4 linked regions of the Saccharomyces cerevisiae S288C genome follow. The gene in region 3 interacts genetically with the main gene of each other region. Each region holds a gene or a part of one and is shown on either strand. Other genes may lie near its edges.

Region 1 (4,718 bases), on a different chromosome or scaffold from region 3:
TTTTCCAAAACAGCTCTATATATGCTTTCCAGGGCGATGTTGATAACAAATGTATAAGAGCGAGCCATAATAATTCTTAACTGCTTGTTGTTATCATTAGACCATTTAGCAAATATATCTGAATGTATTTTGAAAGCAGTAAGTAAGTTCATAGCTTTATCCAACGGGATATTCAAGGTTGACAAATCCCAATCTGTGACTTCTTGATCTTTGATGTTGGATGATAGATAATAGCCCTTCTCAAAAAGAGTTAACTTATGATACAAAAACGCACAAAAGCCAGTAGAGGCCCTAGGAAAAAGGAAATTTGTGTATACTAAAGACAAGGCCATAAATGGCGGTAAATGAACGCAATTATGATCAAAAAACTCAGGAAAATGCTTCTCATCTAGGTTAAAACACAGTATGGTCGTATTGATGACAAGGGAAAAAGAGACCAAAATGGTTTGCAGGATGTTGTTCTCTAAAACAACGCTTTTTTCCTTGTAAATCAAATACCTCAAGGAATAAAACGTCAACAACAAATTCAAAACCTGCGCAAGCACTTTAATCTCGCACAAAGGAACTTTAGATATTAACTCACTGTCAGTGTAATATGATATTGGGTGGAATTCAGTCTCTACAAAGTTTCTTAGTTTTTTACAATTTTCGGCTAAGTCTGGAAATGCGCTTCTATCATAAATTTGATCTAGCATTGGTCGAGCTAATCTTAAAAACCTTTTAAGCTTGCCCATGCAGGAATTTGACTGATCGAAAAAAACCGTCGATGAATAATTGTTTGTATTTTTAGGCAACCTCTCACCATTCTCGCATTCATCGACTTGAAAATAGGATGAGTTAATCGCCAAACATCTCCCAATATTTAAAGAAACATTGAAATCTGATAATATAATCCAAACCCACAAATTTTCCAAACTTTCCATACTCCCCACAATATTTTCTTGATTTTTGTATATTTCTCTTATATTCAAGTGTAAACCCAGCATAATTGCCGTGCTGCATAATAAGTCAACTAGACTAATCATATGCGAATCGTCTCCACACGCCCAAATTAGTTCTCGATGATAGTATTTCAATAAGAGAAATTGAGCGCGTTCAATGAAATATACTTTAGCTGTTGACAGTCCCGTCAGCATGATGAGAAATTTCTCTATCTCTTCCGGAGTATTTTTGTAGAAATGGCGAATACACAGTATCATCAAAATAACTCCAATCTTATAATAGTTTTTCTTTGTCGATGGTAATAACTTTTCAATCCGCCTTTCACCGTTGGGTAACAGTTCGTCACTTGGAAGAAACGAGGAAGTGAAATCGTTTATTATTTTGGTTTTATCTAATACTTCACTAACTTCATTAGTTTCCAGTTCAGTATTGAAAAAGTCTGTTATAATCTTTGACGATTGTTCAAAAGATGGCAAAACGTTACAAACCTGTTGCAAGATGTCAGAGCCTGTCTTTTCTAACGGCGGTCCCTCTAGGAGTTGAGTTTCTGGCTTCATTGTCCATTTATGCCTAGCCTTCCATCTGTTTCTCTCGATTTTCACTTTGGACCAGAGCTGATTATACGTGTTTACAAACCGATTATCATCGTTTGAGAGATGCGTTCTCAAAGATGTAGGACCATATACTATTCTTCTTCCCGAGCCTTTACATTGTAAATAGTAAAAATTAGCGTAAGGGTTCCTAAATGGGCTCGTACTAAGCGCTACATCCTTCTCCGTCAACTCTTTGTCATCTAGTCTTTTCTCTAAATCCTCAATCCTTTTCAACAGTTCAATGTTCGGAGTACTGCCAAATAACTCTTTTGTTTCTATTTTGTGGGTGAATTTCTCTGTATACAGGCAACCAGAACGACCCCTCGTCTTACAAGTTGAGCACATTGGCTTCTGCTGGTCGCAACGTAATTTCCTTTTCCTACAAAAAGCGCATGACTTTATTGGTTTCCGTCTCTTCTGCGCCTTCTTTACAGTTTCCTCCGATGGGGAAGCTCTATCCTGTAAACTACCCCGCTTACTCATTAACAACTCCCTTTACCAGGACCATTCAATGTGCTTTCCCCTCTGACTTTCTATACTCTTGCCGTTATTATTACAATACCACCTGGCATTTGTCATTTTATCGCCTTGTAAACCATGGGTGTCACCCTACTGCCGAGCCTGAAAAAAACGTGCTGCAAGGGTCTTGAAGCAAAAAGATGATTTAACGGAAGAAAGGCATACAAGAAGGTGAAAATTCGTGTTTAACCCATCTGATACTTTCCCTTGTCTAACGTACTGATCCTGGAGGTTATCAAGAACACAAAAGTCTAGCAGCGAAAAGTACGCGAAGAATCTACTATAGATAATGGTGGTGCAGAAAAAACTTAGGGCTATCTTGACCGATGAAGGTGTATTGATCAAATCGCAATCACACCATATGTTCAATAAGCATGGTCAACTCAGAAGCGGAGATTCTTTATCCTTGTTGAGCTGCTTGTCCTGTCTGGATGATGGAACTTTGAGCTCTGATGGAGGTTCTTTTGATGAGGATGATTCCCTGGAACTGTTGCCTCTTAATACTACCATTCCGTTCAACAGAATTTTGAACGCAAAATATGTGAATGTCGGTCAGAAAGGCTTCAATAATGGCAAAATTTCTTCGAATCCTTTTCAAACGGAAAATCTGAGTTCTTCGTCTGAAAATGACGACGTTGAGAATCATAGTTTGAGCAATGATAAGGCTCCTGTAAGCGAATCACAGTCATTTCCCAAAAAAGACAAGTGGGATACAAAAACGAACACTGTGAAGGTGTCTCCCGATGATTCACAGGATAACTCACCATCTTTAGGGATAAAAGATAATCAACAGTTAATTGAGTTAACTTTTGCTGTACCCAAGGGCCATGATGTTATACCACAAAAATTAACCTTGTTAATAGATCACGTTTCTAGGAAATCGAGAGCAAATACCGGAGAGGAGAACATTTCTTCTGGTACTGTGGAAGAAATCCTGGAAAAAAGTTATGAAAATTCCAAGAGAAACAGATCGATATTAGTCATTATTAATCCCCACGGTGGTAAAGGTACTGCTAAAAATTTATTCCTGACAAAAGCAAGGCCAATACTAGTGGAAAGTGGCTGCAAAATAGAAATTGCATACACAAAATATGCCCGTCACGCCATCGATATTGCCAAAGATTTAGATATCAGCAAATACGATACCATTGCATGTGCCTCGGGTGATGGTATTCCATACGAAGTAATTAATGGGCTTTATAGAAGACCCGACAGAGTGGATGCGTTCAATAAACTAGCCGTAACTCAGCTACCTTGCGGTTCAGGAAATGCTATGAGCATTTCATGTCATTGGACAAATAACCCATCGTACGCCGCTCTGTGCCTTGTCAAATCCATTGAAACAAGAATAGACTTAATGTGTTGTTCCCAACCTTCTTATATGAACGAATGGCCAAGATTATCCTTTTTGAGTCAGACGTACGGCGTTATTGCAGAATCTGATATTAACACTGAATTCATCAGATGGATGGGTCCCGTTAGGTTTAATTTGGGTGTAGCATTCAACATTATCCAAGGTAAGAAATATCCCTGCGAAGTTTTCGTCAAATATGCTGCCAAATCTAAAAAGGAATTAAAAGTTCATTTCTTAGAAAATAAAGATAAAAACAAAGGATGTTTAACCTTCGAACCAAATCCTAGCCCAAACTCTTCGCCGGATTTACTATCTAAAAACAATATCAACAACAGTACAAAAGATGAACTTTCACCGAATTTTCTCAACGAGGACAACTTTAAATTAAAGTATCCGATGACGGAACCAGTACCTAGAGACTGGGAGAAAATGGATTCAGAGCTAACTGATAACTTAACAATCTTTTACACAGGGAAAATGCCGTATATTGCTAAGGACACCAAATTTTTTCCCGCTGCTTTACCAGCGGATGGTACCATTGATTTAGTCATAACGGATGCAAGAATCCCAGTGACAAGAATGACACCAATTTTATTATCCTTGGATAAAGGTTCTCATGTATTAGAGCCAGAAGTTATTCACTCAAAAATATTGGCTTATAAGATTATACCAAAAGTGGAGTCAGGTTTATTTTCAGTGGATGGTGAAAAGTTTCCTTTGGAACCCTTGCAAGTGGAAATAATGCCCATGTTATGCAAGACGTTGCTAAGGAATGGTAGATATATCGATACAGAGTTTGAATCCATGTAGATTAACGTTATATTTTCCTTCAAAAATGATTTTTTTGTAAAAAGAAATACTACATCGAAAAGAAAAGGCGATATAATGTTTCTATCATCGGAGTATGGTTTATATTCCATTTTTGTTTTCATTATAATTATACATCCCCAGTTATATATCATTAATACGTAACAATATTATGAGTTGGTCTTTATTATCTAATATAATTAAAAAATTTACACTATTACATCATTTTCAACCAATAGGATATATATATAAATATATACATATATGCACATTAAATCATTCACTTGGAAGTTGCGTCCTTCAAGCTAACTATTCTATTCAAAATAACCTTAGAAGTCGTACTCTCTTTATCCAGAGTGAAATAACCTACTCTCATAGCTTGGAATCTACACACTTCTTTGGAATCCTTATCTTCTTCAACATAAAATTCCGAGTTTTTAACAGAATCAACGACCCATGGACTGTTCTTGACAACGTCCCCGAAGTTATGTTCCATGACAGAT
Region 2 (5,248 bases), on a different chromosome or scaffold from region 3:
TTGCTTGTATTGATAAATCGTCGATATCACACATTGAAATCGAAATGAAATTTGGTGTTATAACAGACAAAAGGACACATCGCAGGATGACACCACACAACAAGCCCTTTATTGTTCAAAACAGAAATGGCCGCTTAGTGTCTAACGTTCCTGAGCAAATGTTCTCGAGTTTCCAGGAGCTACTCCGCTCAAAATCGGAGAATCCAAGTAAATGTGCCCCAAGAGTAGTAAAACAGGTACAAAAGTATACGAAAGATTCTATATATAACTGCAACAATGCCTCGAAAGTTGGCAAATTAACTTCATGGCGTTGTTCGGAAGACCTTAGAAACAAAGAACTTAAACTTACTTACATCAAAAAGGTCCGGGTCAAGGATTTTCTCATTCGCTATCCTCAAAGTTCATTAGACGCTAAAATTAGCATCAGCCTTGAAGTGCCTGAATACGAAACTTCTGCCGCTTTCAGGAATGGCTTTATTTTACAAAGAACCAAAAGCCGTTCCACCTACACCTTTAATGATAAAATGCCTTTACACTTGGATTTGACAAAGGTTACTACCACGCGAAGGAACTCCCATCAATACACGTCCCATGAAGTGGAGGTAGAAATGGATCCTATATTCAAGGAGACAATTTCCGCTAATGATAGGGAGAAGTTTAATGAGTATATGTGCTCGTTTTTGAATGCCAGCGACCTTATACGTAAGGCTGCAGAACGCGATAACATGTTAACGACATGAAAATGCTAATTAAATACTTCTTTTTGTTCTCTATAAGGTGCTACATGTATGATCTGAGTATATATATATATATATATATATACATGCTGTGCTAGGAATAAGTTCATGTAATATTTTCAGTGTTTTATTGACTGAAATTCACCGATGGGACTTGTTACTACCTGACTTACTCTTATTCCTGAATGGATGAATGTTGAGAATAAATCGTTGGTCTTATCGCTTTCATTATCATCGCCGATATTGTGTCCTTGCTCTTCTTCAACTATGTCCTCAGATAATTCCATGGGTTGATGATAATTGAACATCCCACATGGTGAAGACGGTATTGCCTTTTGCTTTTTGAGGGCTTCCTCCTCTTCCTCTTCATCCAAAACTTCTTCATGAGATCTCTTACTTTGCTGAGTTTCCAGCATGCTAGTAAGCTTTTTCGAAGCTGTAACATTATTATCAGAAGCTGGCTGGTCAGCTGGAGTAGAGAAATTTATAAGCCCTGCCTGAGGTTTTGTATTGTCCGAATCTATTACAGATGCCTTTCTATCTTTTATATCATTATCACATGGGGTGGCATTATTACTATCTGTTATATTTAGTGTCGATCCTTCTTTAATGGATATACGCTGCATGTTTGTTGTCGAGCTTGAATGTGTAAGTTCAATTAAAGGTATAGACAACGAGTCTATTGGGGAGGTTTTGTCAACATCGCTAGGCAAAGATATTTTATTATTTTGCGCTGTTTCCAATTCACTGACATCTTCATTTTCGAGAGCAATGGTGTTACAGGTGTTTGGATCGTTGAGTGTTATAGAAGGCTTCAAATTTTGCTGATTGAGTTGTGATGCACTTGCAGAAGTTGGTGATTCAAAAAAATTGCAATTGAAATTGGAAAACCATCCCATCTCATCTTTAAATACTACATCCGAAAAGTCACTCATGGGGAACTCAGCGTTAAAATCCAAGTCACCTTCAAGCTTGTTCTCTTTACTAGTTATGCTTTGGGGTGGAATATTTTCTTTATCATTTTCACTAGTTAAAGATATCTTACGCCCCTTTTGTTTTTGCTGCAATTTCTGCCCTTCAATGCCTGGTTCCGATAGAATGTCACTTAAAATTGAATCGTCATGATCATTTAAATGTTCTATCACTGATGATCGCCTACATCCTGCTTGTGTAGACTTAGCCGAATTTTTGGAATTCGAATTCTTAACTTTGACAATCGTTTGCTTATCATTTGCTTTTTTTTCACCACTAGTCTTCGGCGGTTGCTTTGGATTTATGTTTATTGAAGCTGGTTTTTTTGCTATCGTTGCTATACCAGGTGACACTTTTTTCGTAGACTTTCTTTTGTTGAGCATAAAATCGAACCTCTTGCTTACCGAATCATCGATCTTGGTCCTCTGAATAGTATTATCGTTTTGCAAAGTATTTATTTCGTAAGCTATGTTTTGATGCTGGTTGTTTTGTTGATTGGCTTCTGTTTTTCTATCTGCTAAGTAGATTTTGTGCGCAATTGAATTTCTTGGGAAACCAGTATTCGCTATATTTGGTTTAAGATTCCAGATGGGTAAAGACTGAGTTCTGACAGCTTTTGGAGCAGGCATAGGATTCGTCTGTCTTCTTCCCACAGTCCCGCTATTAGTATTATTTATTGTTATCGTGGTCCTTGCATTCCTTGAATTTTTTATTTGGTTTGTCTTGAAAAGAGATTGCGATTTTGGGGTAAACGGAAGTGTTGCTGATGGTAAAGAAGACGGCATTTGAAGACACGATATCCGAGAATTTGTAGTATTGTTACCAGACGTCCTTAAATTGGTTATAACTTTTGTGAATCTTAGTTTAACCTCCAAAGTTTCTTCCGGAATTTGGTTGTTTACGACCCTTCCCTTTTTATTCGAGATGTTGCTATATGATCTTCGTAGTAAAGCGGAAACATTCGAGCATACCCTTCCAGTAACTATAAAAGATTCATCTTCATACTCTTCTTCAGTTACCTCATCTCTCTCTTCACTTTCTTCTTCACCAATATTGTTTTCTGTATACTGGTAGGGGCTATTCTTATGAAACTTTTTTCGAAGCCCGGAAAGAAGACCAAGGCTTACTAATGGCTCATCCACTTCACATATGTCACGATAATACAAGTTATAATCATATCCATCTTTTAAAGTGTCATGGTCTAACACTTCAGGTGAATTTAAGTATATTTCATGCAGTATAGTCTTCAAATGGATGGCGCCAATTCGCAACTCCGTTTGCTCATTCGAATCTGTCGGGAATGGACTAGGAATATTAGCAACTCTTACCTGTTTTGGAGCCCTTGAGCGGGCTAAATAACTACCATTGGATCCATTATCCAATGTGTAAAGGATCTTCAATGTCATTTGAGAGAGTTCAGACATTTTACCAGAGTCTTTTGTTCAAGTGAATACCAATTCCAATCCAGGTTTCAGTTGCACCTGGTCAAATTGACTTCAGTTATGTGTGTTGACTAGGTTCAGCTTAAGCGTTGCTTATAAAAGAAGAGATGTAGTAAAGCAACAAACTCACCACGGCTCAGTGCAATTCCCAAGAACCGAACTCTCCATTCAATGGGTCTTTCTCTTCACACACACCTTTTTTCTAACGCGACGCGTTTTTTTTACCTTTTTTATATCACGAAAAAAAACGCGACCGTAAATGAAGGTTTTTCCTTTCATGGAGCAGTTGTATCTATTGAATGAATTATATACCTTTTGCTGGTTTGGTCCTTTCGGATATGCATTTTTCAAATGTTTACTTTAGCGATTGAAGCTCTAACAGTAGCAATGTGATCTTTAATTTTTCAAGGTACCTTTCTACCACGAGCAGTGTACTTTTTTGTTGAGAAGAAAGCGCAACTACCGGCGATGACTGAGATGACTTTGCTCCCAAAAAAAAAATCTATATCTATACATAGTTCTAAATACTCGGGTATTCAGCTCTCCTGGTTCGAGAACTTGTTTTCAAGTTCAGAAGAAATTACTTCTCCCTCGAGGTTATTAACAACTCTATTGACAATACTCTTCAGATATGAATCGTCTTTCTTTTCACCCAAAATACTAACTGTATTGAATCCCATACCAAAATGTGGGTATGAGCCTATTTTAATGGCTTCTGAAACTTTTGTTGATTCATCCTGAATCAACTTTAGCTCTTTAGAAATTTGAGACTCAGTTAGGTGTGTTCTGACAAAATAACGAACATACTCACGTGGATCCTTGTCCAAATTATATATTTTTTTCAACGTGGGAGTGAACGCTTTCAGCATCCTTGCAAATAGTTGAGGGATACCGGGTAGTATATACATTTTGTGAGATATAGAACAAATAGGTACCCACAAGTCATCACACACATAATAATTTTTGACGTTTGTGCCTTTTGGCATGGTTGCCATTTGGTAATGCGCCTTTAGAGCATCTGCATCAAGCCTTGCTTCAGGGTCAGATTTATGCCTCATTCGTTCTTTGCATTCTTCATCTAGTTCACAAGGCAAATTAAAGCTTTTCGCCATACATTCGTAAGTGATGTCGTCATGAGTGGGGCCGATTCCACCTGTACTGATGATAAAATCATAATTTTTGACTAATCTTCTCACAGTATCTACGATCTGGGTTTCATCATCCCCTATAGTTGCAATTTCTTTTAATTGAATTCCATGATCAAAGCAATACTTCGCAAAAAAAGTGGAATTTGTATCAACTACTTTTCCATTCAGCACTTCATCACCAATTATGATACAAGCTGCAGTTACTTTCACCATTATACCCTTGACAGTATATACTTTGCCTCCTTCAGTAATTCTTTTATGTCATTATTATCACCAGTAATGACTGCTATTGTTATATCCCTCGCTCTTTCCTTTTTAGTCTCTCGGGCAGCCATAGTCGTTTTCCACGTATATTTTTAATAGAGAAGATCCTAAAACATTCAGTTAGAGTATTATAGTTAATGATTTATTTTATAAATAGTAAATGCAATTTGTATATAAAACGTACATAAATCAAATAGTAGGTATACGTGACAAATATAAGCGTATTGTCTTTCCTTTTTTTTTTTGGCCTTTTTGTAATTGTGAAATGCGTTTCGGGTATTTTCGACATTTCCCTCTCTTCTTCACTTGTTATTATTACTGTGGGAAGCTCAAATATGAGTATTCGTATGGTCGTGCTTAATAAGAACATCTTCTTTGTAGTTTTGTTGTCCCTTGATATGCTCATTTTCCTCACCATTTTTTTCTTCCACGTATTCAATATCCAGTCTTCTCAAATTCGATACTTCATTGGTTAACACATTACGTAAATGATGTGTCACAATTTCAAACTCGTTAACACCTAAAATATTGCCCCATTTTTGTAAAGGAACTTCCAAGGTTAAATGTCCGCGTAAATTCGGTCCTGAGGACAGTAACGTCAGTTCTTTCAATCCATAGGGTTTCTGAGAATTATTATTAGAGATCAGTTTGTTCAACGTATCTTTAACCAAAGTTTCTATCTCTA
Region 3 (7,047 bases):
CTCTAAGTAGTAAAAGTATTATGCATAGTTTTAGCCAGATATTTTTGGGCCCGGAATATATCTTTTCGGGAAGCTCGGAGTATATTGCACCGATCCGATTCTTACTCCATATCATGCCATTTTTCTTTCCTTTCTCAGCGATGTTTTGTAGGAAATCACTTAGAACTTGCCTTACTTTAAAAGCATGTTGAGTGAATTTCACAGATCGATATGCTTTGGTGTTCAATCAGTTCAACCATACCTGCTATTATATAATCTTCGACTCGCATAATATAGGTATTCCATGCGCAAATAGATTACTTGCAAAATGGACATGACTAAAAACCACACCACTGACACAGAGGAGTTTGATGATGGTGATATACGTCCAGTCAGTTTGGGAATTGTGGACGATTATAACGCTTCGTTCGAATTACCTTTGAAACCAAAGTTTTTACAGAGTGAGAATTTCTCAGATTTAACAAGTGAATGGGACCAGTCTAGATCAAATACGCCTGGTCTTGCAGAAGGCAAGACTGAGAAAGCACAGCCATGCGGTACAACAGATAGTTCAAAAAATAGAATACATGTAGAGCAACTGTTGGAATCCGCTAATGAAATGAATAATTATTTGGCGCAGAATATAGAGAACATAAACAATTTTCAGGTGGGGCTATTGAATGGAGGGAAAGGATTATATAGTTCCATGGGTGATGATTCGAGCGCGTGTATTAATGGCACTAATTTTAGCTCAACGTCCAATTTTGAACTAAGTGATGATGAGCTAGAGGATACCACGGGTTGCACAAGTTCTATTTTTGATAAAGATCTTTTCCATCAACAAAACGGGCTAAGCATACCTCGCCGTAGATCACCACTCTTCAAATCTCCAACTGCCAGTTTCGAAATTGGCGATGCTACGGATGTGGAGGAGCAAGATATTGATGACTCCATTTTTTCTGAATGTAGCAGCATTACAAGCTTTGATATGGGAGGGTTGCATATCAGTCTACCACACGATGAAGAAGAAGATCAAGAAAAAACTAAGTCCGAAAGTGAAAACCCGTTGCTACATGGCATACCGGTTGATGTAGAAGTGCCCCACATATCGGTTGATGAAGCTCTGGCGAATTTCAAGGAAACCATAGAACTACTACTAAAACTTAGTGGCAATAGAAAGTGTACCGGTTTCAATACTAGAGTGGAGAAAAAAGAATACTCGAATTTCTACATGAAAAGTAAACCCACCTTATCATCAGCAGATTTTCTCAAGAGAATCCAAGACAAATGTGAGTACCAGCCAACTGTTTACCTTGTGGCAACATTTTTAATTGACACGTTGTTTTTAACAAGGGATGGCAATAACATTTTGCAGTTGAAGTTAAACTTACAGGAAAAGGAGGTCCATCGAATGATAATAGCAGCGGTTAGATTGAGCACGAAATTATTGGAAGATTTCGTTCACTCACATGAATATTTTAGTAAAGTATGCGGTATTTCGAAACGGCTTTTGACTAAATTAGAAGTCAGTCTATTGATCTGTGTGTGCAATACTAAATTAATGGTCAGTAACAGGAAATTAGCCGCCTCCAAATTACTTTTGAATGAACTACGGTCCTTCTGTGTATAGTTGATACAAGTATTTTAGATAATTATTTTAACGAACGTAACGAATGCTTTCCAGTCAATAGCGGCACTGGTAATATGATACAAACAATTTCTCAATAAAACAACGACAAACTTAGTCTGTTTATATTTCCGTGCAATGGTGGAAACCTGTACTCGATATTGGAGAAAACTTCAGAGCTTCCCAACAGTTATCCCGGATTCTTAATTGATGCTCTCGAAACGCACATAAAAATGTGATTTTTTTACTCGCATTAAATTACTGTTGAATCTATGGTTCAAACAAATGTATATTTGCCTACACATCTTTCTCTGTCCCTTCTGTATTGTCTAACCTTAAAATAGAAATATTTCATGGTTTTATTTCTTTTAAGTTTATTATCCATTTTTAACGTGGTGAGAAAACCCGAAATGAAAAATAATAAAGGAAAATTATAGAGGAAAAAAAGTGTAGAAATAGAAAAAAAATAAAAAGGATAATACCGATCAGAAAAATCCTCTTTCTTGCTCTTCTTCTTTTCTTTGTATTTCTCCTGAAAAAATTCAGAAAAACATATATTGGGTTAAATACATAACTATTTAAAAGGCTGTAAACAATTCAACTGACATTAGATACATCACACTCAATTACTGTTGGAAATAGGCAGATATATCCAGATTTTTACAATTACTATAGCACTTCCATTGAAGATATATAAAAAAAGAAAATAACAATAGGAGGAAGTAAAGAAAGCCGTTAATAAACAATGGTGTTATATAAAAGGAAACCTATATTACTTCCTGATCCAAAACCTTTACCATTGGATTTGAATGTACAAGTATGGCATATTGAAGAGACTGGAGAATGGTTTTCTAGTTACGAAGAATTTTTAGAAAGGTTTGATTTCTACACACGCCACCATTTTACATGCGAAATCACTGGTACTTCTTGCCTGACTTTTTTCCAAGCTCTGGATAGTGAGGAGACACAATTCAAATACGTCGAAGACAGATTCCCATTAAAGTTGAGAGAACCAGTTGCAAGATTTTTACATTTTAACGGAATAAGAAGGTTAGATGCATTGGTGGAGAAAGTTTACGCAAGATTTAAAAATGACTTTTTCCCAGGAGAAGTTGTTTATCTACGTAAACAGAAAGACTCTTCTACCACAAGCTCTAATTCCCAACAAAGTACTCCTCAACCTGATGATATGGTCGAAATCAACAGTGTTGGTAATCCTGGCTTACCGCAGTACCAATACCAAAGACGTTATGTTATCAAAGAAAAGGTCCAATTTAACGCAACGATAAATCCAGAGAGCAGGGAAATTGTGATGCCCGCTCATACTAAATACATGCTGATAGAAGAAGCAGCTTCCAGTAATAAATCCTTCATTGTTGATCAAGGACAAATTTACAGGGACCGTTCCACTTTCACTAAGCACTTAATCAAATGTTTTTTCAAGATTACTTTACAGAGGGCATCTTCGAAAATGGGTGCACCTTGGTGTGTCAAACCGGAATATTTAGCGATGTATGGTTTAACGATGGAATGGCCAAAAGATATGTTAAAATATAAAGAAGATGAACCTGTCGTAGCAAGACGTTCCAACAGTGCCAATGTTTCATCCCCAGAAAGTGAAAAGAATAAACGTCAAAGTAAATCATCGGGTAAAAGTAACACCTCAAACGATGCTTCTAACAAAAAAGAAACCAAGAAAAAAAGAAAGCCAACCGAAGTAAATGATTCTGAGAATAATTCTTCGGAAGAAGACAAGAAGAAGGGTCAAAATGTCACATCAGAAACACATTCTAAAAAAAGGAAAAAGGAAGCCAATGAGGAACCGAACACGGAAAACGTCGAAAGCGTTCCTACACCAGCTAATGCGGAGCCTCAGGCTGTAACAATAACGAGCATAATGGATGACCTAGCTTTGCCATATCAACATCCACCGAACATCTTTCCAAACTTAACGTATTATAATGAAAAATTAGAATGTATTTCATTAGGTTCTACAAAACTTTCCAGACCTTTTGATTCTTTTGGAAAGCTATTACAAGCCTATCAGTTTCTGAATACGTTTGGTTCGAAAATTTGTCTCTCTCATTTTAGCCTTGACCAATTCATTACTTCTTTGAAATGTACAGACCCATATGAGTTAAAGGGCGAAGTTGTTTTAGTGAACATAAGAACGCAAACGTCTAAAGAACAAGAAATTGAAAATAACGGCCTGCCGATGAAAAACAAAGCAGAGACTACTACTGAGGAAGACTCTGAAAACCCAAGTGACTGGCAAAGAAATTCATTTATTCGTGATATGATAATGAAAAGAAATTCCGACAAGGTTGAGTACAAGATTGTTCACGATGACCCAGCATCCGATGATATACTTGATAATATCAATCATAATGGGTCTGCTCTTCTCATTGAAGTTTTTACTGCGCTCTTACGTTTGTTCATCAACGAAGAAGGCGATTGGAGTTGCATCGTCGTTGAAAACTGGATAATAGACGACAAGGGAGTCCTTATGGAGAGAAAAGATGAAAGAGGGGAGGGGGAGGCGAAGCAAAAACGAAATGCTCACGGATACTTTTTACAAGATAAGGAAAAGATCGACAACCTAAAGGACACATTAAAGGAAAACGCAACAGAAGTTCAAAAAGAATCAGACGCTAAAAACGAAACAAATTCAGAATCTGATTCTAAATCTGATTCTGACAGTGAAGAACGAGATCCTAAATTAGAAAAGTGTTTGAACTACCGCAATGTTAACTGGATAGAACGCTTGACGAAAAGGCAATTTAATAACAGTTACTGGCTAATAATTTTACTGGGAGTCTTAGAAGATTGTAGACATCTTCCCATGTATACAGAGTTTATTGATTCTTTCATAGAAAAGATCATACCCAAAGATATATCAGCTACTCAATTGCCCAAACAGCTTTGGAGAAATTTCTGTCGAAAGCTGTCGTTCAGTGACAAAGTCAATGCGCTGTGGATACTTGTAGATCTCGTATCGCATTTTTCTCCAGATATCAAAGCTGCTGTAGATGATTCCATGGAACTATGTGGTCAAATTCGTAGCGAAAGATTCAAAGTTGCGAGAGAGTTGAAAACGGAGGCAGCCGTCTTAAGTAATCTTCAAGGCGACCTGCAGGCAATTCAAGAGAAGTTAAATAAAACAGATGAAAACACACCATCAGCCGATGGTGCCGATAAAAAAGATGATTCCGAATCAAATAGTGAACCAATTGATCTTATTATCATTGAGAAAAAGCAAAAGTTAATTGAAGAGCAGGATAAAAAGGTACAAGCTTTACAATCAGATAAAAATTTCCTCGATAATTGTCTATTTGAAAACGATCTACAAAGATTAAAGCCGTTGGGATTGGATCGATACGGGAACAGGTATTTTTGGCTGGATCACAATGGTGTTCCATTTCCTCAATATCCTGCTGGTATGAATGAGACGCCGAAAAGTAACAATAGTTTGAGTTATCACTCCGGTCGTTTATTAATTCAGGGACCTAAAGCATCATCGGCGAAATTCTTTTTGAACGTCAGTGATGAGCAATTGAGCAATTGGCAAAAAATCAGAAATTCCGAAGGAATATCCGAGGCAACTAGGGAAGTATTTGGTATCTCCAAAACTAGTTCCGGATCTTATAATTACGTAGAAAATGGAATAGAGGTCGAACTATTGGACAGTAATGATCGCGTAAACCCACTTATAGAGCTGACACCTATTCAAAAGAAAATTATGGATGAAACACCTTCAAGGTTGCTACTATCACCAGATCAATGGTATTGCATTGACAAGTTAGAGGACTTGTCAAGAATAATGGACTGGTTAGATAATTGGGGTCGCAAAGAGCATGATCTCTTGAGGCAAATCAGACCCATAATGGAACGAATTAAAAGTTCCCTTAGCTTGCGCGACCATGCGCTGTCACTGACAGCATTCACCAAAAATGAAGAAAAGTTGCTAAAGGAGTTAGAAAATAATGAATTTACCGAAAACGAATTGAACGTTGATAGTATGGATGTTGATGATAAAAATAGCGGTGTTAAAAGTGAGGTTGATGTACAGGTTGATGCCGAAGAGAAGAGAGAAGCTGTGATAGACGAAAAGTTGGAGGTGATTGCAGACGAACTCATGAAGCTAGATGATAGCTCGAAAACACGCAATGTTCTTAATAGAATACAAGAATTAGAAGATCAGAGAGATGAACTCTTGGAACAGAAAAAATCCATAATAAATTCGCAGAGGCCAGGCGCGAGGATTTTAGCCCGTTCAGAAAGGAAAAGAACCAAAATCTCCCGTGGTAATAAGGTGAATAAGCAGATTGAAATATTGACTGACTTAGTCAATTATAGACATTTTAAAGCTATGGAAGATGTGATAGCTTGGAAAAACGTTTTAGCAAATTCGATATGGGGTTCCTCACTTCGCAAAAATGCATCTGGTAATAAAAGGAGTGGTGTCATTGAAACAGTAGACGATAAATTAAAAGATATAGTGGGCCAAACCTCAAGAACAGTAACACCTGCCCCAAATTAATATATAAAAAACTTCCTTTGTAACTGATGGTAAATTGTAGTATTCATAAATAGGATAAGATTATTCATTGTAAGCATAATGGAAAAAAATAACACAACAAAGCCGCGCAAGATTGGACCATACTTTCTATCTAAGGTAACTATCACTTACTGGCTTGATGGATGCGTATTTTTGTCGGTACCAGCTTCTGAAATATCGATATCAAACATAGCTGGCTCAATTCCTTCCATCAATTGCTGGGTAATTTCGACTGGTAAACCGTTATCGTTAGAGATATTAGCAGATGCGCTATCAAAATCGAGTTCTTGGGCACCTGATCTCAAATTGCAAGAATGGCAAATAATATCTTCATACCAGTATAAACTTTTGTTTGTACCACAATGTGGGCAAGTCCTTTCGAAAGGAAGTACGTAAATTTTGGGTTTAATAGCAGAGTCGTGTGAGTTTCCTGGCATTTCGCCGTGTCGCAGTCTAAGCTGTTCAAAATATCTCAACTCCACTAGACTATGGTCAGATTCGCACTTATAATATCTGCAGTATTGTTCTATGTATGACAGAGTATGTTGAGGCTTGTACGATAATGGATAAAGTTCGTTTCCTTCTAAGCTGATATCGTGTCTATCGCATATTAGTATAGGTCTCAAAGTGTATGTATCGTTAAGCTTGACATCCTTTATGCACGGTAGAGTGGTGTCTACAGACATATTTTTCTTTTCAAACATAAGCTTAAAATTGGAGCTGTTCTGTGCACATGTAATATGATACCTATATTGGCATTTGTTACACTTCACTAACCCACCTCCATTTATCCTGCACACACCACATGTAAATCTACTATGTTTAATAAGCACAGCAGTGGTATTAAGGGCAGGTTGCATTGATTGTCCGTTTCCATATTTGA
Region 4 (7,050 bases), on a different chromosome or scaffold from region 3:
ACCTGCAATAAAGTCGATCTTTTCTTTGCCGAACTTTTCTTCTAAATGCGTCTTGAACGTGTGTACCAACTTTTGGAATAGCGTGGGGTTGCCAATAATAGGTAAAAAATCCTCAAATTGCTCACCCTCTATGGGAAAGTCAGTGAACTGCCTAAATGCAGTTTTTATTTCCTTTGCGTAAGATTCAGAAATAGACATAATGAGAGGCGGACAGGCAATGAACAGGCATATACACACGCACTCTCTTTTTTTAAGGAGCGAAAATTATCTGAACGATTGGTATGAACGGGTGCAAAATTTACTTTAACACCCAAAAAGTATATGCGTATATATATATATTTATCCTTGTTATTTTTGTAAATTGAGCTATGCAACATAAGATTCCTGCGATGTAAGAACTACTTGCTAATCAAGAGAACTTCAACAATTTTCCATCGCAGAGACGAAAAAACTGGAAAAAAATAAAAAGAAAAAATTGAAAAAGAATCGCGACTTCCGATTACATAACCTTATACGGAGTATGATACCATTCTTGACATCATCAACACACCATCGCAGACCCACGTGGCCGCTTCGTGTGCCTTGAAAATACAGCCTTAAACGCAATCTCATTCGCGTTCTGTGGAAATTGTCTCGGACTACACGCTGGGCGTGCATCACCAGTGAAAATGCCGTACCGCCCCGCTTCCGGTTTTGTTTTTATAAATCCGACTGGAGAAATAGACTTCTGGGTTTACACCCCGGAATAATACTAAAACCAAAACTGGTAAATAGGGCTACAGATGAGCAGGAAAACGTTGCCGGAAAAAGTTTATTTATCCGAGAGAATAATTGATGAAGAAGTAGCGGTATGCACAGTAGCGGCGGAAGTATTAGCAATTTTTACTCTGGTGTGCACAAGAGTGTTCATCATTTTTTTCACGGCTAGGATATGCCATGGAATATGGCCATCTTCGCCATCAGAGAGACCGTACCACACGTTTAGAGCAGCCAGGTTGCGAAACTCTTCTAAGATGGTTTCCAGCAATTGTGTACTATCAGAATGTGGACAGTTTAAAAGGTTGACTGCGAATTTGTCCCAAACCGTATCACCGTCGCATTTTTTGAATTTGATCAAAGCACCACTCCTAATAGCACAGCGATGCTGTGAGTGTGCCAGTGGGAACGGGTGCTGAAATACTATTCCATGGATGTCCTGGTCTATATCCCTTATTTCATAGTCGTATAATCTGGTCATATCCATGCGTCCTCCAAACCTAGTGTCTTTGTAGATCGGCTTGAAACTAGGGTACAATTTGTCCTCATCTATGAAGGAGATTTTAGAGTTGTCATCCACACACACCACAGCAAGATGTATATTCCTACCAGAAAGTCTCCTCCAATTCATCAATTCATCATCCGGCAGTATGCCATTCAATCTAGTTAAAATTAGACATATTTTTCCGAATTTTTTAGACGCTAAATTTAGGGCGATATTCCATATTTGATTACATGCGTCGTCAAATTTTCCTCTGGAATTCCCGACGTACCACGTTTTCGTCATGCTGCCTTGTCCATAGCTATCTGAAAGAGCTGCAAAAACCCACTCTTTATCTACACTACGCGAGTATGCCAGGTGGATGTACGAGTCATAATATATTATAGAAGATGATCCTGTACTGTTATTCTGCTGCTGCTGTTGCTGTTGCTGTTGCTGTTGCATTTGCTGTTGCTGCATGGTTCTGAAATTCACTTTCTCCGGCAGCGTATGCGCAATGTGGGTGAACTTTACAGATTTTGGCGGCAGCATGTTATATATAGAAATTGCTACGTTGACGTACTGATCCACTGTCACCAGTACGTTTCTAATGAAATCCATAGGAATAACTTTCAAATATAGTTCAATGTTAGGCATCTTGGCACAAACTTCGTTCTTGATCACCTGAAAAATATTCGCCTTGTCTACTAATTCAGTCAGAGTTGCATTATCCAAGGGTAAAATTATTAATATTGGTGGCACGTTTTTGATGGAGTTCTTATTATTAGAACAGTATGAAACAATCTGCGCAGCTAACAACAGTAACTTGTTTTTATCAAATGCCTTCAAGTACATCAGTCCGGGCGGGTCTTCATTAGTTAGTTTAAGCAACTCACAAAACCCTAACTCTTGATTAATATATGTTTGAGATAGAGTTGGCGCAAATGACAGACAATCTTCTTTGAAAGATGAACTTAATAATAAGGATTTGAAGTTTTTTATTCCATTTGGAGGGCGAAAATTGAGGAACTTAATAAATGGCTGAGAGTCGTGTTTGACTTTGATTAGTTCGTGATGTTTCTTTACAAAAACGTACGGCTGCTTCATGTTATAGAATTTGGAGATCGTATCATTGCCATTTAATCTATCGAAAGTGGAAAATAACTGTAACATTGTGGTTGTTATTAAACCTTCTTGGCAATCTTTAACTCCCCTATAGGCGATCTTTGGAATACCGAGGTTTCCTAAGATATTATAATCAGTGACGACTTGTTCTGCAATTAAATCTAAGATGTCTTGTTCTTTTTCTGAAATTGTAACAACGGGAGTAGGCGTGATGAAAATGTCCGGTATAGATGCTAGCGGCATGTGTCTCAATAGAAACGGTAGACTACTTGATGATTCAAAAGATAAATTGGGGTCCGCCGGTGTGAATTCGGGGATACCACTCTTGTCTTTTGGTAGGTTAGAAATTTCAGAATTTACCATATTCGGCGTAAATTCGGACGGATTACTGGTAACATTATTATCTTCCAAGGTCATCTTTATATTGGATTCTATGGGTTGAATAGATGAATCAACGGTCTTCAGTGGTGACTCGGTCTGTGGTATATCATTTTGAGGAATTTTCCAAATAGAGTTGAAGCCTTCCTTATTGCTAGTGATATTAGCATCGTTTACTGAATTGAAATTTTCTTGCTTTATAATAGAGTCTTGTAGACTTGGGATCGAAGAGTAATTTATGTATTGAGGCTCATGAATATTAGTATTAGTACTGATGTTATCAGAAGGTTTCATGTCGTCGCGTACGTTCAATGACTTTAGATCCTCATCGCTGCTACCGTTCTCTTCTTCATCCTCTTCCTCTTCAGAGCTAGAAAGATCCGCCATAGAAATATCAAAGTTTAATGCTTCCTCCTTTTGCAACGGACTGAAGGAAAATTTCCCTCCAGATTTGTATTTGTTATCAACATTGTTTTCTATTATGGGGTTAAAATTCAGTGGAGCGAACACACTTTTGCGTCTATCGCGGGGTGTTTCCACAGGGAGTGGCGCACCTGGGTCCATATATAATGGACTCGTTGGCAAGGTCATTTCATCTATCGGAATATCCAAATATTTCCTCTTTCCATTTAATCTTTTTGTAGTTCCGCTCATCGTACGGATATTCGGTTTTTCAGATGAGGGAAAAAATGGAATATCTTTACCAAGATCAGTATGCATTTCCTTGTTATTTTTATTAATGCTTTTATTGTTATTATTTTCTTCTTCATCAGACATTTCGAACATATCCTCGGTAATTTCGTCCGATATACTTTTGTTCGATTCGTTTGTAGAATTCGATTTATTGCTATCGCCAAATAAATCCTCATCCTCATCCTCACCAAACAATTCCTTGTCTACCATAGAGTCACTTTTATCACTTGGCAGATTTTCGTTCTGTTCTCGTTGTTCCAGTGTTCCCTCTTTATTATGAAGTGTGTCTACGCTTCCTGTCTTGCTCACGGAATTATTTACCTTTTCGAGTGATCTACCATTTGCCTCCAGTTCCGTTTTCAGTGGGCTGTTCTCTAAGTCATTTGATACTGTAGTTTGTTTCCTATCATTAAATAATTCATTCTCATTGATGTTATTATTAGGGGTATTTAAGAAAGCTGGAGCAAATTGATCGCTGGGCGACAGCATTAATTTATCAATGCCTGTGAAATTAGGGGAGAAATCTTTCGGAGATATCTTATTAGTTTCTTGGACAGAATGATAAGAAGCGGGTTGAGAACTAATTGAGTTGTTCTTATAATGTTGAAACTGTTCTGTATATGCTCCATCTGAGCTTAAGGGATTTGTACCAGCAATATTACTGCTCAATACGCCGGAACTTCCTGGAGTCCTATAGGCAGCTGTTTGCTTTAATTGTATGAAATCATCAATGGCATCCAGAGCATCTTGCAAACAGTGAAATTCTGATGGATCTCCGGAAGTAGAATTTTCTATATCAGCTACTGGTTGGGCGAAGATTAAATGCAGCGGCCATACTAGCTTCTTTGCTTCAAGTAAGGGAGTTAAATACGAAGCTATAGTAGGTGTGTGGCCGTTGAGATGTCCTAAGTCAGGAACAACAGCAACCCATTTCAAATTTTTTTTATTTTGTAAGTTTATACCATGAGATACACTTAACGTCGTCAAGAGAAGTTCTGTATGTTTTGGTGGCGTTATCAAGTATCCTTGCTTGGAAGCAGGGGCCAAATGCATCCTTATTCCAGATGGTGCTAAATAAAGCGCATGCTTTGAAAGGAAAGATTCTTCCAAATTTTCCTCCTTCATTGGTACTAATCCCATGTTCTTGGCACATAACGACACTGTGAGATCTCCGTTTACAAAAAGGTGTGGTTCTAGCTGTACGAGATAATTTGGCACTCCGCTTAATGATATGCAGGCATTCCCAAATTGTATTAGCTTATTGTGTGAACCTAATGCCAAATTAATGTAAATTTTCCTTCTTAAAGCTTTTAAAAAAAGAGCATAGTGTGGCGGTAAGTTTGGCTTTGAATAATCGGCAGTGAAAGTTCCGATTTTATCTGGGCTCACTGGTTTATGTTCTATCGCAGGAGGTGTCGGTACCGGATCATCATTTATACTGAAACACCATAAATCCCTTGAAAGCAGCGCAACTAGAGTCTTTGGATCCTGCTTCCGTAGCATGAATTCCATTTGGATAGACCATTGATCGTTTTGGGCTTTAGAAATGTACTGATGATAGTTGATCTTTTTGATTTTCTCCACTCTATAGAAGCTGGATAAAACATCCTCAAGTCTGTACGTGGAAGCGTCAGAACTCATACTACCTCCTCAGATCTTGATATCCAGCTTAAACGTTCTTAAAATATAGTTACACCTTACTTCAACAAAGTAATTTCCGATTTCACACCATTCGTCTTAAAGGGTTGTTGTAAGAGTGTACTACAATAAATACTACACTACTTGATCCGGCACTACCCGGTCCCTCCACCTGAAAAAATGTTTCAATTCTTCGCTTTGTTAAGCGCGAATATATCGATGCTATTTTCTAAGGATTGTTTATTCAGTATGATAAAACAATGAACAGCAGGAAATGCGGAGGAGAATCACTTACTCGGCTGTTATTCATCTTCTTATTATAAAAGAATTGCTCCATTTTGGTTCGATCCCTTAATGCCTTACAAAATCAACCGAATGAAAAATTCGCTCGAGATAAATGAAACCGGAGGTACCTTATTGGTTGATGAGCGGAAGAGATTAAGAATAGGTGAGTTATATCGCTACAAGTTTTCCGTGAACAAAGATGTAATTAAGGAACAAGGGCTAGATGTATCGCATCTATTCTTGAGGATCAAGAACGAGGAAAGCGCGCTTCTGCGACCGCTTTATTTGACGGGGCCATATTCTTTTTACATCGATGTTAGGCCGCATAACTATAATGAGAATCGCAAGTTTCCAGGGAAGGAAATTATTCCATTTGTTGAAAATCTAAAGCCGGACGAAAGATTTAAAGTAAAAATATTATTGAATGAGAATTCTAGAGTTGGCGACACTTCTCTTTATTCATGGACAATAGATATAATTTCGCAGTTGGCGGTAACCACAATTCCGAAGCTGGAATTTTCGTTTAGGATAGGGACTACAAGGAAGGTGGTCAAGAAATCGAATGGGCTCTTTAAGAGTATTGAAGGTGTCTCTTTAGAGATGTGGGATACTGAAACCCTTTGGGATTTACCACCAAAATTTCCAGAAAAGCCTGTACATCTCGTTATTATGACACATGGTATATTTTCTAATATCGGGTGTGATATGCTATATATGAAAGATAAAATTGAAGAAATGACGTTTCCTATGGATGAGTCTATTAATCCGAATATAATTGTTCGAGGTTTTATGGGCAACGTCGGGAAATCAGGTCACGGTATACATTGCTTGGGCGTTAGAGTTGGAAAGTATGTGCTTGAGACTGTTGATAAGTTGAATAAAAAGTACAAAGTAGACAGGATATCATTCATTGGCCATTCCCTAGGAGGGCCAACTCAATCCATGGCGGTGCGTTACATAAGTATTAAAAGACCAGATTTTTTTGATGCAGTTAAAGGTGTTAAACCCGTTAATTTTATTACGTTAGCTAGTCCTTTCATCGGTGTTATTGGCGACTTCCCCTTTTATTTGTCTGTTCCACTGGATATGGGCGCGCTTGGTTTGACAGGAAGGGACTTGAATTTAAAATATACACCGTTAACGTCCAAAGATGGGTTGTATGCAGACGATGAAGTGTACCCAGAACATTCCAAGTACATATTAGAAATTCTTCCACAGGCGCCGGCTAAAAAAGTATTTGAGTCTTTTAAGAGGAGAACGATATATGCCAATGTCATGGATGATGGTATTGTTCCATTACGAACTGCTGCACTTTTGTATCTGGATTGGCGAAGCATACACAAAGTCCAGAAAATTAGGAAAAAAAATAAGAACTCTCCAACTTCAAGCGAGTTTGTGTCCTCCGATAGCCCAGAGAGTAGTGGAGCATCATCACCTTCAAACGAAAATGGTAACAACGTCGGGGAGATTCCTGCAGAAAGTCCAAACAAAAAAGCGACGTTGCAGTGGACTTTACCTCAGGCCGTTATCCACGGAAGTAAAATAAATAAATATAAGAGAGGACAAACTAATGAAGCCAACTCAGATTCGGATAATGAACAAGGAGTATTTCTTGATGGTCAAAAGTTCGAACCTCCAAAAGAAGCCAATACTGTATTGTCTGCATTATCGGTATTGACAGCTGCCATACCAGA

The links.
Region 1: mutations in ITC1 (region 3) and LCB4 together harm fitness more than expected from each alone (negative genetic interaction), as found in Saccharomyces cerevisiae (2 studies listed by BioGRID).
Region 2: mutations in ITC1 (region 3) and SPT21 together harm fitness more than expected from each alone (negative genetic interaction), as found in Saccharomyces cerevisiae (2 studies listed by BioGRID).
Region 4: mutations in ITC1 (region 3) and SSN2 together harm fitness more than expected from each alone (negative genetic interaction), as found in Saccharomyces cerevisiae (2 studies listed by BioGRID).

The regions. Positions count from the first base shown.
Region 1 is NC_001147.6:651,510-656,227, reverse strand, and holds LCB4 (sphinganine kinase LCB4), read left to right. Parts: upstream 1-2,343; coding exon 2,344-4,218; downstream 4,219-4,718. Other genes in the region: YRM1 (Yrm1p), read right to left, coding at 1-2,018; GLN4 (glutamine--tRNA ligase), read right to left, coding at 4,496-4,718.
Region 2 is NC_001145.3:617,743-622,990, reverse strand, and holds SPT21 (Spt21p), read right to left. Parts: upstream 3,134-5,248; coding exon 857-3,133; downstream 1-856. Other genes in the region: CTL1 (polynucleotide 5'-phosphatase), read left to right, coding at 1-740; FPY1 (flavin adenine dinucleotide pyrophosphatase), read right to left, coding at 3,688-4,512; MMT1 (Mmt1p), read right to left, coding at 4,893-5,248. UniProt on the Saccharomyces cerevisiae protein: Required for normal transcription at a number of loci in yeast.
Region 3 is NC_001139.9:255,356-262,402, forward strand, and holds ITC1 (Itc1p), read left to right. Parts: upstream 1-2,351; coding exon 2,352-6,146; downstream 6,147-7,047. Other genes in the region: PCL10 (Pcl10p), read left to right, coding at 308-1,609; DNA-binding E3 ubiquitin-protein ligase SNT2, read right to left, coding at 6,293-7,047. UniProt on the Saccharomyces cerevisiae protein: Functions as a component of the ISW2 complex, which acts in remodeling the chromatin by catalyzing an ATP-dependent alteration in the structure of nucleosomal DNA.
Region 4 is NC_001136.10:1,344,865-1,351,914, forward strand, and holds SSN2 (Ssn2p), read right to left. Parts: upstream 5,075-7,050; coding exon 812-5,074; downstream 1-811. Other genes in the region: adenine phosphoribosyltransferase APT2, read right to left, coding at 1-198; YDR444W (putative hydrolase), read left to right, coding at 5,426-7,050. UniProt on the Saccharomyces cerevisiae protein: Component of the SRB8-11 complex. The SRB8-11 complex is a regulatory module of the Mediator complex which is itself involved in regulation of basal and activated RNA polymerase II-dependent transcription.